2 linked regions of the Lonchura striata genome follow. The protein of the gene in region 2 binds, or shares a complex with, the protein of the main gene of each other region. Links are inferred from orthologs where the notes say so. Each region holds a gene or a part of one and is shown on either strand. Other genes may lie near its edges.

Evidence for each region.
Region 1: the proteins of FBXL5 (region 2) and IREB2 are in contact, whole or in part, in a cryo-EM structure (PDB 6VCD), measured with the Homo sapiens proteins. The link is inferred for Lonchura striata from reciprocal best matches to the Homo sapiens genes FBXL5 and IREB2. Residues at the interface, in NP_036293.1 of Homo sapiens: Asp656, Glu657, Tyr661, Cys662, Asp663, Asn664, Ile665, His669, Ala670, Asp671, Thr672, Ala673, Ser674, Gly675, Cys676, Gln677, Asn678, Leu679, Gln680, Cys687, Arg688, Ser689, Gly690, Glu691; in NP_004127.2 of Homo sapiens: Asp89, Phe90, Ser129, Asn217, Val220, Glu221, Arg224, Arg228, Ala758, Gly759, Ser760, Arg763, Asn764, Thr777, Pro778, Arg779, Asn782, Ser783, Tyr784, Gly785, Ala786, Arg788.

What each region holds. Positions count from the first base shown.
Region 1 is NC_134613.1:4,460,867-4,468,751, reverse strand, and holds the start of IREB2 (iron-responsive element-binding protein 2), read right to left. Parts: upstream 3,141-7,885; 5' UTR 2,932-3,140; coding exon 2,913-2,931; intron 2,315-2,912; coding exon 2,225-2,314; intron 1-2,224. UniProt on the Homo sapiens protein: RNA-binding protein that binds to iron-responsive elements (IRES), which are stem-loop structures found in the 5'-UTR of ferritin, and delta aminolevulinic acid synthase mRNAs, and in the 3'-UTR of transferrin receptor mRNA.
Region 2 is NC_134606.1:15,166,639-15,174,655, reverse strand, and holds the start of FBXL5 (F-box/LRR-repeat protein 5), read left to right. Parts: upstream 1-4,962; 5' UTR 4,963-5,041; coding exon 5,042-5,125; intron 5,126-8,017. Other genes in the region: BST1 (ADP-ribosyl cyclase/cyclic ADP-ribose hydrolase 2), read right to left, coding at 834-1,003.

The sequences.
Region 1 (7,885 bases), on a different chromosome or scaffold from region 2:
AAGATTGATTGACATTTTTCCCTCAAATCCCACTATTTTCAGCATAATTCAAGCAGGCAGTTAGCTTCGTAAGAACAGTGAGAAATCCTAAGGAAAGTTAGGGAAGGAATGAGAAATAATTAAGTTCTGGCTTTAATAAAAAAAAAATAAATTTAGTGGTCTCAGCCTAATTTAATTGATTGTTCACAAACTACTATAGAACTTGCTGACTCTGTTTTCACTGTGTCTTTGTGAGATAATATCCACTATTGTCTAATTAGACAAGTCGCTATTTTGAGTTTAAGATTTGATTAAATTTGAGTATAAAGATGTCATCCAAAAGGTCTCATGAACCTTCATGCCCCCACTCTCTTGATTTAAAAGCCAGATTCCCAGAGAAGAACTTGTTTGCTTTCTTGTGGGTTAAAAAATCGCACTGCACCAGCAGGTCCTATGTGCAACACAGAGCAGTCTGGGGCTTCCAGGGTACAGGACAGCTCCAGCCATGAGATGACACCCGGCACAGGGCCCTTGGGAGCCGCCGGGACTGCCGGACACAGGAGCTGCAGGCAGCGCTGGCTGGCGAGCCCCCGGGGACGGCAGATCTGACCGGGCCTCCCGGGCCCGCAGCCAGGGGGAGGCGGGACTTCGCAGCAGCGCAGGAAGGGACACGGGCACTGGGCACGAGGGAAAAGCAGCACGGACAGGCACAGTACCATGGAGGCAGTGGAATCTCTGTCCTCCCAGACTGGCACAGCTTAATCATGGAAGATTCCCCACATGAGCTCCAGCCCCAGCAAGAGCCTGGTCTAAATCTCCACATGTCCTCTCTGCCCTAAATCCTTTTGAGCTCTTCTCATTTTCTCCGTAAGTCTTAAAACACTAGAAAACTGGTAACTAAACCAATTAACATTTACATTAGTAATCTGATTAATATAAACCGGCAATTAATGTCAAATTACAGCCAGACAGGTAAAACTCAAACTGTTCTAGCAACAAATGCAGTGAGCAATTCCAGATGCTCGATTTGTTACCAGTGCTGTCCCATGTCTAGATGTTATTTAGTATTTTGCTACCTTGAAGCTAACATGAGGCTTCCAGCTTCTGCACAGAAGTTTCTATTGGAAGACAAGGACCCTGTTAGCACAGTCTGTTTAGATTCCTGACAGTATGTTCAGGAATACCCATTGCTACTGCAAGCAGCAGAAAGTTGTATATTGTTTTAGTTCCACTCCTGTCATGAGGCTTTCCACAAAACTGCTGTAGAACTGCCTGGTTTTGTTACTAGCACAGCACTGCTTCTTCCTGGACCAAGCACTGTTTCCTCCATGTGTGCTTATTTGAAAGACTGACTTTTTTACTACAAGCAGGGAAAAATTGCAAGAGCACACAGCTGTACCCCCCCCCATTCTCTTTAAACAACATGGAATTAATAATTGTGTTCAAATATGGGTTTAAAGTGAAATATCCAATGATTTTTTTTTTTTTAATTCAAGAAGCATAGCACAAATTCTGTGAATATAGAAGATTCAGACCTTGCAAAACTGGAAAAAAAAAATAGCCCAAGTGCCTTTACGAAGTAGCCCATATAAGTAGTTCAGTTTAACATGAAGACAAAGGGAGAGAATAATGCCAGCATGCTTTGATTACCTGCAAGACTAAAGCCGTTCCAGCTGGCAGCGAGCAAAGCTCCCTCCCGGTGTGGACTCCCCTCCCACCACACGTGCAACACTGTGAAAAGCACTTGGACACAGAGACCCGATGAAGGTCTCACTGGCACAGACAGCCATTGCATACTAATGACAAGCTGAGATTAAGCAACAGCGTGAGCACCACTAAACCTCACCCTGCAGCAGGAGCCATGTTCTGGCAGTCACCCACTATGTGAGGCTGCTGGGGAGGAGAAACTAGAACACCATGAAGCTATACAGAACTACAGAAAAAGCTGCATTTATTTTGGAAGCATTAGAGTTCTTTGTCACTTAATTTTTTTTTTTCCAAAGTGAGTAATTCTTCTGATTTGGAATACTGTTGAAAACTGCAGAAAGACCTGCACTTTCTCCCTTAGTAAATAAGATCTACAAGTATTACCCCTGCAAACTCCTTAAAACACTAAGAAATCGGGATATCATCAGCTTCCAAACACACCCATTAGAAATTCCCGACTGCATCTCCTGCCACCGCAGGGCACCAGTGGTGCAGCTTGCGGCTGGTACCACCCCGATTACCCCGGAGAGCATCGTACCGTACTTGGCGCCTCCGAGCTTCGACACATTGTAAAACTTTTTCTCTGGGTGGCTTTGCAAAGCTTCAATGGCGGGCTGGTAAGGGCTTCCTGCGGGACGAAACAACCAGAGTTACAGCCACAAAACAACGGGTGGTTTCAGCGCTGACTGAGGATTCACAAAAAGAGATTTTACTTCTCATTCTGCCAGAAATAACGTTTCTCTAGACTGTAATTAGAAGCAACACGGAAAGGTTTCTAAACGGATTGAGATACCTCGTGAGGTAGATGTGTGACTAAGGTGAATTTTAAAAGCAGCACTGATAGTAGGTACATGCAGGTCAGTGCAGGTCGCCAGCACAGCCTGAACACACCTGACCTTTGTTGTCTCAGTTTGCCATCTACACACAGGATCAGACACCTCACCAGCGCAGATAAGAGACACGGGTTTTAATACAGCAGGAAGCACAAAGCATTGACTGCCAAGCCAACGTCAAGGGAACAAGACACGAAAATAAAGCTCGTAGCAGCCATTAGGTGCTCGGAGTAAATAACCCCCGGGAGAGAGCAGACAGCGGGGCGGGGACGGGCCCGCTGTCCCCCGCAGGGACTCCCGTGGCCCGGTACGGCGCCGTTCGGCGGCGAGGCGATGTCCCGGGCCGCGGTGTCGCGGCGGGCGGGGGCGTGGGCCGTCCCCGCGGTGACCGACCTGCTCTGGGAGGGTCCATCGCCGGCGACCATGTCAGCGCGAGGGAGCGGGCCGGGGGGCGCCGGCGGGCCGGCAGCTCTCGCGAGACTGCGCCCGGCGCCCCACCCCGCGGCCGCAGCACGCCGCGCTCTCGCGAGACTGTGCGCCCTGCTCAGGAGGAAAGGGCACGAGATCGCGCGAGGCTTGGCGGAGAGGGCGGAAGTAGCCGGGAGCGGGCAGCCGCTGCTCTCGCGATAACAGTGACGAGCGCGCGGGCGGAGCTGCCGGCCGGGACGCGCCGGGGGCGGGACAGTGAGGGGGCGTGGCCGCGCGGGGCCGGGGCGGGCGGGGCTCGGGGGCTCCCGGGCCCGGCCGGACCCAGCCCCGGGCGCGGCCCCGCGGCGCTGCGGCCGCCGCTCGGCGCGAGGCCGAGGGGCGCGGTTGCGCCCGAAGGATCATACGCTCCCATTTTAAGCTCCATCCGACCTGACGTTGAACGCTTCCAGGGACGATGCATACACAGTGTCCCTGGAAAGCGTGTTCCAGCGCCTCTCCACCCTCACAGTAAAGAATGTCTTCCTAACATCTCATCTAAATTTCCCCTTTTGAATTTGTACCCATTCCCCCTTGTCCTATCACCATAGTTCCTGCCCACCTTCCCTGTAGGACCCTTTCAGGTAGCGGAACGCGTTGCGAGCTCCCGCAGCGCCTCCTCCCTGCCAGCCTGGCCCCGCAGCTCGCAGCTCGCACTCGGGGCGGGGCAGCGCCCAGCGGAGCCCTGCGGAGCCTGCGGGCCCAGCAGCAACGCCCGGAACACAGAATCACAGAATAACGAGGTTGGAAGAGACTTCTGAGATCATCAAGTCCAGGGATGTGCCGAACCATCACTCACCAGTTGTTCTCCTTTGCCAAAGACACCCCAGCTCGCCGGGCTCAGTCCTCAGGATGCCAGTGAATAAACGGCTGCTGGTTATCTCCCTTTGCTGGCTGAAGGCTGACTTCTGTGTGTCAGGCACATCCAGAGGAAGGAATCTTAGGCAGCATGGAGTATTTCTTGCTCACATGTGAAATCCTTTAACCCTAAATATTTAGAGGTTTGTGTCCTTCCTACATACCAGACAGATTCTTGGAAAGCAAATTGCATATGTATTTGGTTTTAACACAATGTTTGGCTTTCATTTTATACTGAAAACTTTCTTTTTGCTTATAACCACCTGAGCTACTGCACTGTTCTGCTTACTATTTTTTGTGTGATTCTTCTAGAATTAAGTCCCTTAAGGAAATGTGTAACTGTCTAGGAACGAAGGTTTTGAAGTTTCCAGAATGTATTTTCCATTTCCCAACTGGCATCTGACATCCTGAAATAAGTCAAATTCAAGGGAGAACTTATCCAGAAGAAAGCGAGGATGGTTTATCGCTGGTTTGTAATTAGAGCTGACAGAAGCAGGCTAAGCAGAGTCTTAGTGAAGAAGAGAATGTGAGTAAGAGGGAATTATGTTATGCTACTTGTGTGAAAGGCAGTCACTCCATTAGAAAGAATTTCAATATTGCTGTTCACCATATTTCAGCTGTTAAACAGAGAAAGCAGTTTTGCTGTGGAAAAAGCTGAGCTAAATATTGCTCTCAGGTCTGTGTTCCACAGCACTGTCACACAAAAGAGACCACAGCAAGCTGGAGGGAACCCAGTGTAGTGCAAGACACAGCTTTTGTAGTTGTGCCCTTCTTTTGTTTTCCTCTGTTTTCCCTATGAAGACAGAAGAAAGGCAATAGCAGTGACAACCAAACAACATCCACAGCATCCATTCCTCTGCAGGAGAAGCAGGTTGATGCAGGAGTTTGAAGTACAGCCCTTTGAATCAAACTGCTTCTAATCCTGGCTTCCATATGACTGCTGTACTTGAAGCTTAGATGCACTAAATCTTACACTGCTCTTGTGAGGCAGTGAGACATCTTTAGAGGAAAGGAGTAAAACTGTACATAACTACCTATAGATGGAAAAAATAACACAGCAACCTCATTTTCTTCCAATTGAATGAATACATGAGATTTAGAAAGAAAATTTGAGAAACCTCTTTAGAATATTTATTTAAGAAATTTAGGTCAGTCCATCGAGTCTAAAATCCACAGGTGAAGGTACAGAGTGGGTAAGACACAATATCTAAGCATAGTCAAAGTTGGGGCAGCTGATTAAAAAGATCACAAAGATATTTTGACATTGTCACATTTCAGTAACAAACTGAAACAAAGGTTTGTAAAATTCAGATTGCACAATTTGTAAGAAAATCAAGTGGTCGCATTCTCCTGTGTCTTGTGCCACAGCAGCAAAGCCACAGGAATTAGGTGAGATGTAAACTAAGAACATGGCAGATTGGATACTTCAGTAAGAACATGACTGAATATTTAGTTTTGACACCACATGGTCTAAGATACAATCTTTGCTTCTGTAAATTAATTTTTTAAAATACAGTATCCTCAGTGCTACCATGTCATCTTCAAGAATATGAATGTAAGCTTTGCTTTTTTGTCCCTTATGTCAAAGTAAGTAGATTGATAACTGCCAAAGGAAAAAGCATTTCTTGACACAAGGGTATGGCAACAAGTGTGTGCTGTGTGAGCCCCTGTCATGAAAGACACTAAAAGTCAAGTTCCTTACTCATGCTAAGGCTCCACTAAATTTCTCATACCCTGAATATTTGTTATCTCAGACTGGTGTTTATTAATTGATTCACTGCTGGCAATTGAAGTTGCTGTCATAATTTTTCATCTAAAGTGCTGGCACTCAGAAAATAAAAAAATCAGTTTCAATCTCTTCTTACAAGAGCTGCCATTCAAACAGAAGTACACAACTCTAACACCCTTCTACAAGTCCCTCCCAGCATTCAGCAAACTCTTAGTAAATCAGATGATAATGCTGTCTCATGAATATCTAGAGATAGCACATGAGCTGTTCTAAAGTTGGGTATATGAAGAGGCTCAAATTTTCAAAACTTATTTCTGAGCTCAGTACATTTTCTTCTCCAAGTGGAGGAAAGGTGTTCAAGATGATTTTTACATGTGAGAGAAGTGCTTGTGTACAGTATCCTGCAGAAACTGTGTTTGGGAGAACAGACTTGCTGTGAGGAGTTCATTAGTACCAAGAGCGAAATTCAGTAAACATGCTTACTTCCAATCATCTAACAGAGGAATAGGATGCTGAACTTTGGCTAATCTGAAGCCAGGCACCTATTTTCAGGTTGCAGCACTGTTGAGCCTCCTGTATCATTAGGGAGCTTGAAAAAAAGCCTTTTCTAGTTAGTTAACAGAGTCTAAATGAGTGCAAAGTCTTTTCCCAGAGATGTCAGGAAGAAGAAGGACTCTTTTGTGCTGATGGCATATTAATTGAACTCTGAGTTGTGAGCCTGAGGTCTTCATTTCAGGAAGTGCAACAAGCAACTGGGGAATCTCAAGCTACACTACCCAGTTCTTAGAGCAGTCTGTGCAGTATCAGGCTTAACAGCCCTAGAGATCACATCTGGTTTGGTTCAGGCTGTGGTTGTTACTGACACGCTTGTTTTAAATGGATGGCGTCTGTTGCCTTCTTTCCTCAACGCTGCTGGAAAGGGAGATGGGAGGCACAGTTCAGCTTTCTTACCTCAGGATTTTTTGCAAGCTCAGGCACTGCTGGCCTCTGGGAACAAATGTTTTCCTTCTCAGGAAGGCAGTGGTCACCTGCCATGTGCTTGGGTTCTGGAGAGCCAAATGGCTTTCTTTCCTCACTCACTGCAGGAGAAAACTTCATTTGGCAAGTACCAGTAGGGGCATTTCTCACACCTGCAGGAAAGAAGGTGTGGGGGGGTGCAGTTTGTAGTGGGGGTGGAATGCTGGGCATCACTGCTGGGTGCATCCCAGCTGCAGAGGGCCAAGAGCTTCATTCCTTCAGAGAGGGATGGCAGCAGGGAACACACTGCATACATCCACAAGAAAGCAATTTAGGGGATTTACTGACAGTTGGTAAGAACAATCATTAAGAAACACCCTTCAGCACTATGCAATGCACTTCCCGAGTGCATAAGTATGGATGGTGGTGAAACTCCTTTTAACTGCTGGTTGCTATTAACTGTATCTAATATGATGACAGCTCATCCACATCTGACAATCCTCAGTCATCCACAGAAACATCCACAGCAGGACAAGCCTCTTTGTTTTCTGGAGATGTGGGATGTGGCTTGCAGCAAGTTGTGCTTTGAGCTCAGTCATTGTGACCCAAAGGACAGAGAGGTGTTGGAGGTGTACTCAGGACTTCTTAATATAGTGAACTGTTTGAGACTTTTAGCAAGATAATCCCCAACTCTTGAAGCTGATGACCACTCAAAACCATACCCCTCCTTCCTACAAATTGTCAACACTGTGAGCTAGGAACATGGTATCCTCTGTCTGAGAAAATGGTCCTCAAGTCAGCACTGGGTAAGAGTTCCATAGACCTATGAGGCATACTAGGAGAAAAATCTGTGGGAGCAGAAAACATTCTGCCTAAATAATGTCAAACACACTTTTACTGGAGGTGGGAAGCCCAGGTCCACAAGGAGAGACTGTAGGGAGCGCTGTGCTCCAGGACGGTTTAGATGAATGGAGACAAGAGATCTCTGAAGGCTGCTCTTAGGATATCAGGTTTATTAGGGATGCAGAAAGGTCTTGCTTGGGGCTGCCAGACGCAGCACGTGTCAAGGCTTGAGGGGATGGGGGAGAGACAAGAGGATGCTCTAGGAGAGGGTGGAGGTCCTAAGAGGAGGGGAAGTTCCAAGAGAGCGTCTGGCCCCCCGGAGACCCCTTATCAGGGGGCTTCAAGTTTGGCTGGAAAAGACTTGGGCCAATGGGTTTACAGGCACTTGATGTTTTAGGGGAGGGTTACAGGTGCGAGGTCAACCATACATTTTGGGGGGTGAGATGGAACAGTCCACTTGATTTTTGGACTTACCTGTAGGTAAGGGCATTGTCCAGCCAGCAGGGAGGACTGT
Region 2 (8,017 bases):
TTTTGGCTTTGTTAATAGTGAAAAATTTGTTTGAAGTTCTTTATCTTCCTCTTTTGCAACAGGAATTGAAAATGGGGGGTTGGGCAATTGAGGTGATTTTTGCAGTATCATCTAACCCTGTTTTAAGACAGCAATTTAATGCTACAGGAACCCAGATAGGGCCCCTCTACAAATACCTCTTCACACTTTTAGGGCAATTTTTTAATGGCAGAATAAAGGGCTGAACTCCAGGAGATTGTCCTTCTTATTTTCTTCCTTTTTACTGAAGCCCTTACAAAGCAAGGAATCAGAAAAGTGCTCATTTTAGCAAAGTGTGTGATTTACCTCCAGTTCTGTATAATTAGCACAGCCAATAGAAGCTCACAGATAATCCTACTTAAGCAGTTGATTAGTACTTGATTTTTCAGGTGGATGAGCTAAACAGGTTTCTTTAGTACCAAAGGATATCTATAAAGTGAGGTGCTCCCCTTTGTACATGATGTGACATACAGGCATGCAAGGCAAAGCTGGTCTTCCCAGGAGTGCTCTTAGATTTGGCACTTCCAAAACACCATCCCTGTCATTTCTGTGTGTTGTTCTCTTTACAGAAAGTAATGGGGGGGGAGGCAATCAAAAGTGAAATAAAGAATTGAAGGATTAAAAATCTTGCCCCAATTACACTACTTTAATTAAAACATGATATCTATCAAAGTAATTTTGTTGTTTCCAGACAGCTACAAGCATGTTGGTTTCAAAAGGATCACTTTCATTGCTAGAAGCATAACATCAAACTTCTGATTAACAACCATTTGTACAGAACATAAAAAAATAATCCAGAAACAAGCAAAACTTACCCAACAGCAGGATTCACAGTTCTAATATAATCATAGCATCTTCCAATGAAAATACTTTCCAGGTTTTGAGTAGTACCTTCACCTTTCCATTTCTTTCCCTGCACTCCTGAGAAGCTGTTCATACAGAGAACAGAGACAAAGAAAAGAGGATAAAAAAGGCTCACCATCATGAATTCCTGACAATCCAAATTCTTAAAAGGAAAAAACCCCAAAGAAATAAAAAAGTAGAGTTCAATGATACAATTTAAATGGAAACCTGCAGTCTGAACGTTTAATATTTTTAGTACTAGCTACAACTCAGTACACAAGACAAAAGCGGGAAAAAAAACCTTGCTGGAAACTATAACCTATTTCCTGGAACGATTGCAGCACAGAGATACATCACTTCCTTGTGTCTAAACTATTCCTCACTTCAGAAAAAACGAAAAAGTTTGAAGGCCACCTGGTGATAACTGAAGAGAATTGCAGTATATCTCTGCAAAGGGAAGAAAAAAAACCCCTTACCACTTCAATACTTAGGATGCCTTTGGTTCGCTTAATACTCGTTGCTGTGCTACACATTTTGGTGTGATGATATGTGCACCATGTCTTTGTGAAAAAAACCTGCCTTGCAGTCATGAATCAATCATAACGAGAAACATAAGGATTACAACTTATATCTTGTGCACTGAACAAATGTCTTCAGCTTCTGCTGTCACTCTTCTCCAGGTTCTTTCTCCTAAGTACTCTGTTAGAACAACAAAAGGCACCAATCAGTCTAATCTTCAGAATATTCACTGGTACACACTGCTGTAAATACAGCCACATTGGGTTTTTTACCTTAAAAGAATAAATTCAACCTCCAAGTATTTTGTATTCAACCTCCAAGTATTTTGTATTCAAGCTCCAAGTATTTTTGCACTCACATTTCTCAGGAGCATGCTGGTTCTTTTCTTTCTTTCTTTCTTTCTTTCTTTCTTTCTTTCTTTCTTTCTTGTGTACTTATTTCTGTAGTGTCCCACTTCTGTTTATGCACTGGTACTCAGCTGGTGGATTTTGCTGAGGGAAAAATCTTGCTAATCATTGAGTAAATTCCTGATGATGGATTTCTACTATAAATCTGACAAAAAATAGCCAATTGGTTGCTACCTGTTGCTTCTCTAATGTTTTTTCTTCCTATTTCTCTTCCTAACCTCTCTATGTCCATGCTGATAGGGCATCAGAACAATAATCAAATGGTTTCAAGCCAATATTTTGGATTCAGGATTAGAGAGTGCAATAGTCCATGGAAGTCACTGAACATTTTATTTTATTATTAACTTAGCTGCAACCAAATTTTGCTCAGTAATTTCAGGGTCTAACAGAAGCCAGAATGTGATGTGAATCTTAAATGTGCAGAAATTGTCACTGATTTTTGCATCAAGGCTAGAACTTTTGCTTGAAATATACAGTATAAGTTAAGAAGTCATACAGATAGACACTGAACGTTTCTCCAAGTACACACTAGGTTAGGACACAGCACCTTGGGGAAGAAGATGTGGGCTCCCTAACAAATAGACAACCTGTCATAACATCCCAGAGGAACTGGATCCAAGAGTTGTTGGGAACCCCATTTCAACTCCTATCAAGCTTCCTTTCCTCACTGGTAACTTTTAGAAATACAACATCAGGCCAGAGGGCCTCTGATCCCACTCAGCACAGCCATTTTTAATTAGTGTTCTAGTTTTGTTCTAAATACTTCACATGAGGGCTAGATTAACAACCTGCAGGGTTCCAGTGGTTTGATAACCTTGAGAGTAAAACCTTAGCTCTGAACTTATCTTCTTCTAGCTCCCAGTCACTGAATCTCATGATATCTTTTGCTGTTACATTAATGAAGAATCCATCATCAGAACCATCCTTCCATGCAAATTCTTGTAAAAAATTACCAAGTCTACCCTTAAACTAGTCCATGAAAATTCAGTATTTTAATCCCTTTATCAGGTATTTTTTCTTGTAGTATTGCAATTCACTGCCACAAACTGGCTGCCCATCTTGCCTCCTGAGGTCTAGCAATTCATGGTGGATGCAGATCACTGTTCCTCGCTCTCTGTCCCTCTCTCCTAGAAGATGCTATTGCCCATGAAGAAACGTCAGAAAATTGGCAGCATATCTGCTCTGGAGATACTGTAGTTCACAGACTCAATATTAATCCAAACAACCATGAAATTCAACATATGTTTACATTCTGAACCCCAGAAGATGAGGAGCCAACATGTTCTTTCCTGTTATTTCTATCACAGGGGAGTGGTAAGTTCCAGCAGTAGGAAGGTGTAACAGACAGTAACATTAATCCTCTGTTACTACTCACACATGAATTTCTGGCAGAATAACCTCAATTCTGCATGACCACATGCTTTAGGCCTGGTAATAGAACCTCATATTCACAAGCTCCTCTGTAAGCAATGAACTTCAAACTTTGTTTCTTAAGGGTTTGTGTCTTCAGTGTGTTAAGTCTACCTACAGCAGTAACACAAGATCTCGCCTGCTCCCTTGTGTGCCAGGGCACACTCTCTATGAAAGACATGCTCAAGCTCAAACCCAGAGCTCTGCTCACTTGCCAAGCTGTAAACACAGCTGTGTGCTGGCTAGCCAGCTGCATAACACCTGTGCTTTGCCTTCCTTTCTTCCCTCCTGGGAACCTGCTTTTTTTTTTTCCCAACCCAAAGTTGTAAGAATTTAACCTTCCAAGTTTCGTGCATATTTGCAAATATGGCAAAGTAGGTCAGTGTGTTCAAAAGTCCTTCGAGGAGGAAAGGATTCATGGAAAAGGAAACGCCCAGTACCGCAATTGCTTGGGACTAATTTCCTTAGATAAAGAGATAAAGAGATTATTGTGCACAGTGTCAGCTAAGTAACACACAATGTGAGCTCTTCTGCTTAGTTCACTACTTACTTCTTTTACCAGCATTTTATTCCCAACATTAGTATGTTGAGAAATACCGGACTAAAAACTCACATGACTTTCCTGAAAATATTTCAACATGTTTACAATGAATTGCTTACACCTATGACCTCGCTAGCTCAAATACGTTTAATATCTGCAACATAGACTTTGTTCAGTTTTCAGTCAGAAAGGCCTGCTGCATCTATTGTATGTTTGACAAAGAATTTTGGTGACATTTACTGAACATTGCAATGCTGGTCAACAGTTTTACAACACTACATGCTGGTTGACAGTTACAGATTTTGTCAAATGGATGTGCAATCTCAACTTGGCCCAGTGTTCCTGCTTACTTTGAAATGTTGCACAAGCAGATCAGTATGATAGGCAGGTGTTTTTGGTTCATTTGCCTTGGAAGTTAAACAAACACACTTAACTTTACTTGTTTGGCACAAATGCTGCAAAAGGTTGGGTGCAGATTCCGTGCTGCAGCAGATACAAATAACTTGCCTAGGACCTTCTTGATGAGGTCACACTGCAAATCCTGTGTCCAGCTCTGTGCCCCCCAGTTCAGGAAGGACACTGAGGTGCTTGAGCATGTCCAGAGAAGGGCAGCAAAGCACAAGTCCTGTGAGGAGCAGCTGAGGGAGCTGCAGGTGTTTAGCCTGGAGACCAAGGGGGACCTCAATGCTCTCTGCAAACACCTGAGAGGAGTTTGTAGCCAGGTAGGGGTCGGTCGATTCTCGCAGGCAAATAGCAATAGGACAAGACACAGTCTGAAACTGCTCCAGGGGATGTTCTAGGTTGGACATGAGGAAGAATTTCTTCACAGGAAGGATGATTAGACATCGGAATGGGTTGCCGTGGGAGGTGACGGAGTCACCATTCCCGGAGGCGTCTTTAAGGAAAGACGACGTGGCACTCGGTGCCGTGGTCTAGCAGACAAGGTGCTCGGTCAGGGGCTGGAGCCCATGACCCCAGAGGTCTTTTCCAACCCGACTGATTCTGTAAGTGCTTTTTACATCCACAAGCTGCCACCCTGGCGCTGCCAAGGCATCGGGTGTGAAGTCACACAGCGCTGCAGCTCGCCGGGACGGGCCCAGCGCGGTGCCCCCGGGCGGGAGCGCATTCCGCAGCGGGGCCCGGGCGGGCGGGCCCGGCGCCGCCGCGCCCCGCGGCAAGGGGCGGGGCCAGCCGCGCACGCGCGGGGCGGTGGCCGCGGTCACGCGGGGCGGGCGCACGCGCGGTGCGGACGCTCGCGCCGCCGTTCGCGCCGCCGTTCGCGGCGCGGCTCCATGGGGAGAACATGGCTCCCTTCCCCGAGGAGGTGGACGTGTTCTCCGCCCCGCACTGGCGCATGAAGCAGCTCGTGGGACTCTACTGCGACAAGGTAGCGGGCCCCGCGCCGCTGCCCCGGGGCGGGAGGGAGGGTTTGGGGAGTGCGTAGCTGTCAGCGCCCTGGCCCCGCCGGTAACTTCTGCCCTGCGCTGCCGAGGGGTTCCTGAGCGCCTCACGGGCTGCCGGTGCCGCTCCGCGGCCGCGCAGGGCTGAGGCTGCCCTGGCTGCCGTGCCGGGCCGGCCGGCAGGAGCCGTGTCCCGCTCGGAGGGGCGGTGGTGCCGCTCAGGGAACGCGCCCCCGCCCGGGCAGCCCGGCAGAGCCCCCCGGGCAGCCCGGCAGAGCCCCCCGGGCCCGGCAGAGCCCCCCGGGCAGCCCGGCAGAGCCCCCCGGGCCCGGCAGAGCCCCCCGGGCCCGGCAGAGCCCCCCGGGCCCGGCAGAGCCCCCCGGGCAGCCCGGCAGAGCCCCCCGGGCCCGGCAGAGCCCCCCGGGCAGCCCGGCAGAGCCCCCCGGGCAGCCCGGCAGAGCCCCCCGGGCCCGGCAGAGCCCCCCGGGCAGCCCGGCAGAGCCCCCCGGGCAGCCCGGCAGAGCCCCCCGGGCAGCCCGGCAGAGCCCCCCGGGCCCGGCAGAGCCCCCCGGGCAGCCCGGCAGAGCCCCCCGGGCCCGGCAGAGCCCCCCGGGCAGCCCGGCAGAGCCCCCCGGGCAGCCCGGCAGAGCCCCCCGGGCAGCCCGGCAGAGCCCCCCGGGCCCGGCAGAGCCCCCCGGGCCCGGCAGAGCCCCCCGGGCCCGGCAGAGCCCCCCGGGCAGCCCGGCAGAGCCCCCCGGGCAGCCCGGCAGAGCCCCCCGGGCCCGGCAGAGCCCCCCGGGCCCGGCAGAGCCCCCCGGGCCCGGCAGAGCCCCCCGGCCCGGCGCTCCCGCCCGGGCAGCGCGGCCCGGCAGCGTTTGCCAGGCAGGCAGGGCGCGGGACTGTGCTTGCGGGTCTGTGCGCAGCCTTCTGCTGGTGAGTGGCGTAAAGGTACCCTAGGTACGTTCTTTTATTTTAAATATATGTAATTTTGGTCATGGACAAAAGTAATTTTTATTCTTGCATCACGGTAGTTAAATAATCAAGGCTGATGTGTCACCTGAAAGACAAACTTCCCTGTAGCAGCTTTGAGTGTTGTAGGAGGGTTTTGGGCGAATACTTCACAGCCAGCACTCCTACTGCAAGAAGTTTTGCCTCCCATCTCCGGGCATAAATGGCTGTTTGGAGAAGCCAGATTGGCTACAGACATTTAAAAGAGCGGTGCAGTTGCATGAGAGGCAGTTACCATAGTTTACTGCTGCCAGCAGCATGGGGGAGTTCATGCTTCCCTGTTTCCACATGGCACCTTGCACTGCTCTGGGATTCACCAGATCCTTTGGTGTGCCTCTTCCATTTGATAATAGGTTAAAGAAAACCTAGAGCTGTTTTTTGCAGGATTTGCTAACTGGACATAGAGTCTAGGAGGAGCAGAAGCGATGTCCTTATATAGTTTCCTTCACTTTGCTTTTTATTTGAGAGTATATTTGCAATCAACTGAATCTGCGGCAGCAGAAAAAATTGTGGTATCATAACAGAGTGGATTTTATTTGAATGGAAACAAACACCCCCACTGACTTCTGGTAGCTGTTTCAGTGTGTTGTTGACAGTAGCTGAACAGGTTTCATTTAAACATCCAGATCTTGTAGTCACTTAGGTTTTGTTCCTAGAGAGGCATTTTTATCACTTTTATTGAGCCTCCCACAAAGTTTTGACCCAAGTTTACCATGCCTACTAAAACTTCCTGGGGAGCAATTACTGGTTTTCCTGAATATTGAAAAATTTGATAAAACTATTTGTAATGTTCATAACCTTTCATTTTATAAAAGTTTTTATACAGGAATTTTCTTGCTCCCTTTTTCTTTTGAATAAGAGCAAGCCTGAATGAATGTCACTTTTTTTGAAAAGTGTTCAGTTTTACGTCCTTTAACCCTGTTGCAGAAGTTGAGGTGTGTGCCTTGACTGTGAGTTTTTATAATGCCAGCTTTGCACCAGAAAAACTTCCAGTTTTTGAATTTCCTTCTTGTGTGATTGTGATGCTGCAATTAGGTAAGTCTGTAGTTCTGCTTACATGGCAGGTGTAATCTCTAAAGCCATGCTCTGGATAAGTTTAGTTTGACCTTGAGGGTTCTTTAATGTTGTGAATTACATATTATCTGTGTTCATTGGGTTCTCTGCACACTGTCATATAGTTGCTGCTTGTGTCTGAATGAAGTAAATTCCACAGAATATTAATAAGGGTGACATGGGGTCATCCATCTTTGCTTCTCAGGAGAACAATTACATTGTTTCCAATGGATAAAGTACATAGGAACTTAAATAATCCTTTAGGACAGAGATACACAGTTTATTTTGTTCTTCCAGGACTTCATGTGAGACAGAACAGTTAAATTGGAATTTAAGCTGTTTAGTGCTTTAGCTACGCTTTTAGCTGTTGCTAGTGAAGATCTCCCTGTCCCTTGCTGCATTCTTAAATGGCATTTTTACCTGTGTTGCATACACTGCCCTGGACTTGGATAATATGAGTAATTAGAATTATGTTTAATAAGGAGATCCACACTGTTGCCAAATCTGTCTCCTACTCTAGTGAGAAGAAAATTCGTTAAGTGTTGTGAGGATGTCCCCCCTGTAGGTAGTGGAGTGCTACAGCAGACAGTCTGTATAACTGAAATGCTTGTCCTAATGCCTTACGTCATCTTTGCTACAAATAGAGCAGATTCTGTTTTCCCATCTCTAGTGAACCGTTCTTAGTTTGCAGAAAGATCTTGTGCCGATTTGCAATTGTGGCTGTGTCCTCCATCTTAGTTATGTTCTCTGGCTTCAGCAAACAGATTCATTCTGCTTCATCACGTGGGTCACGCTTGCTGTACTTCAGTGTACTTGTT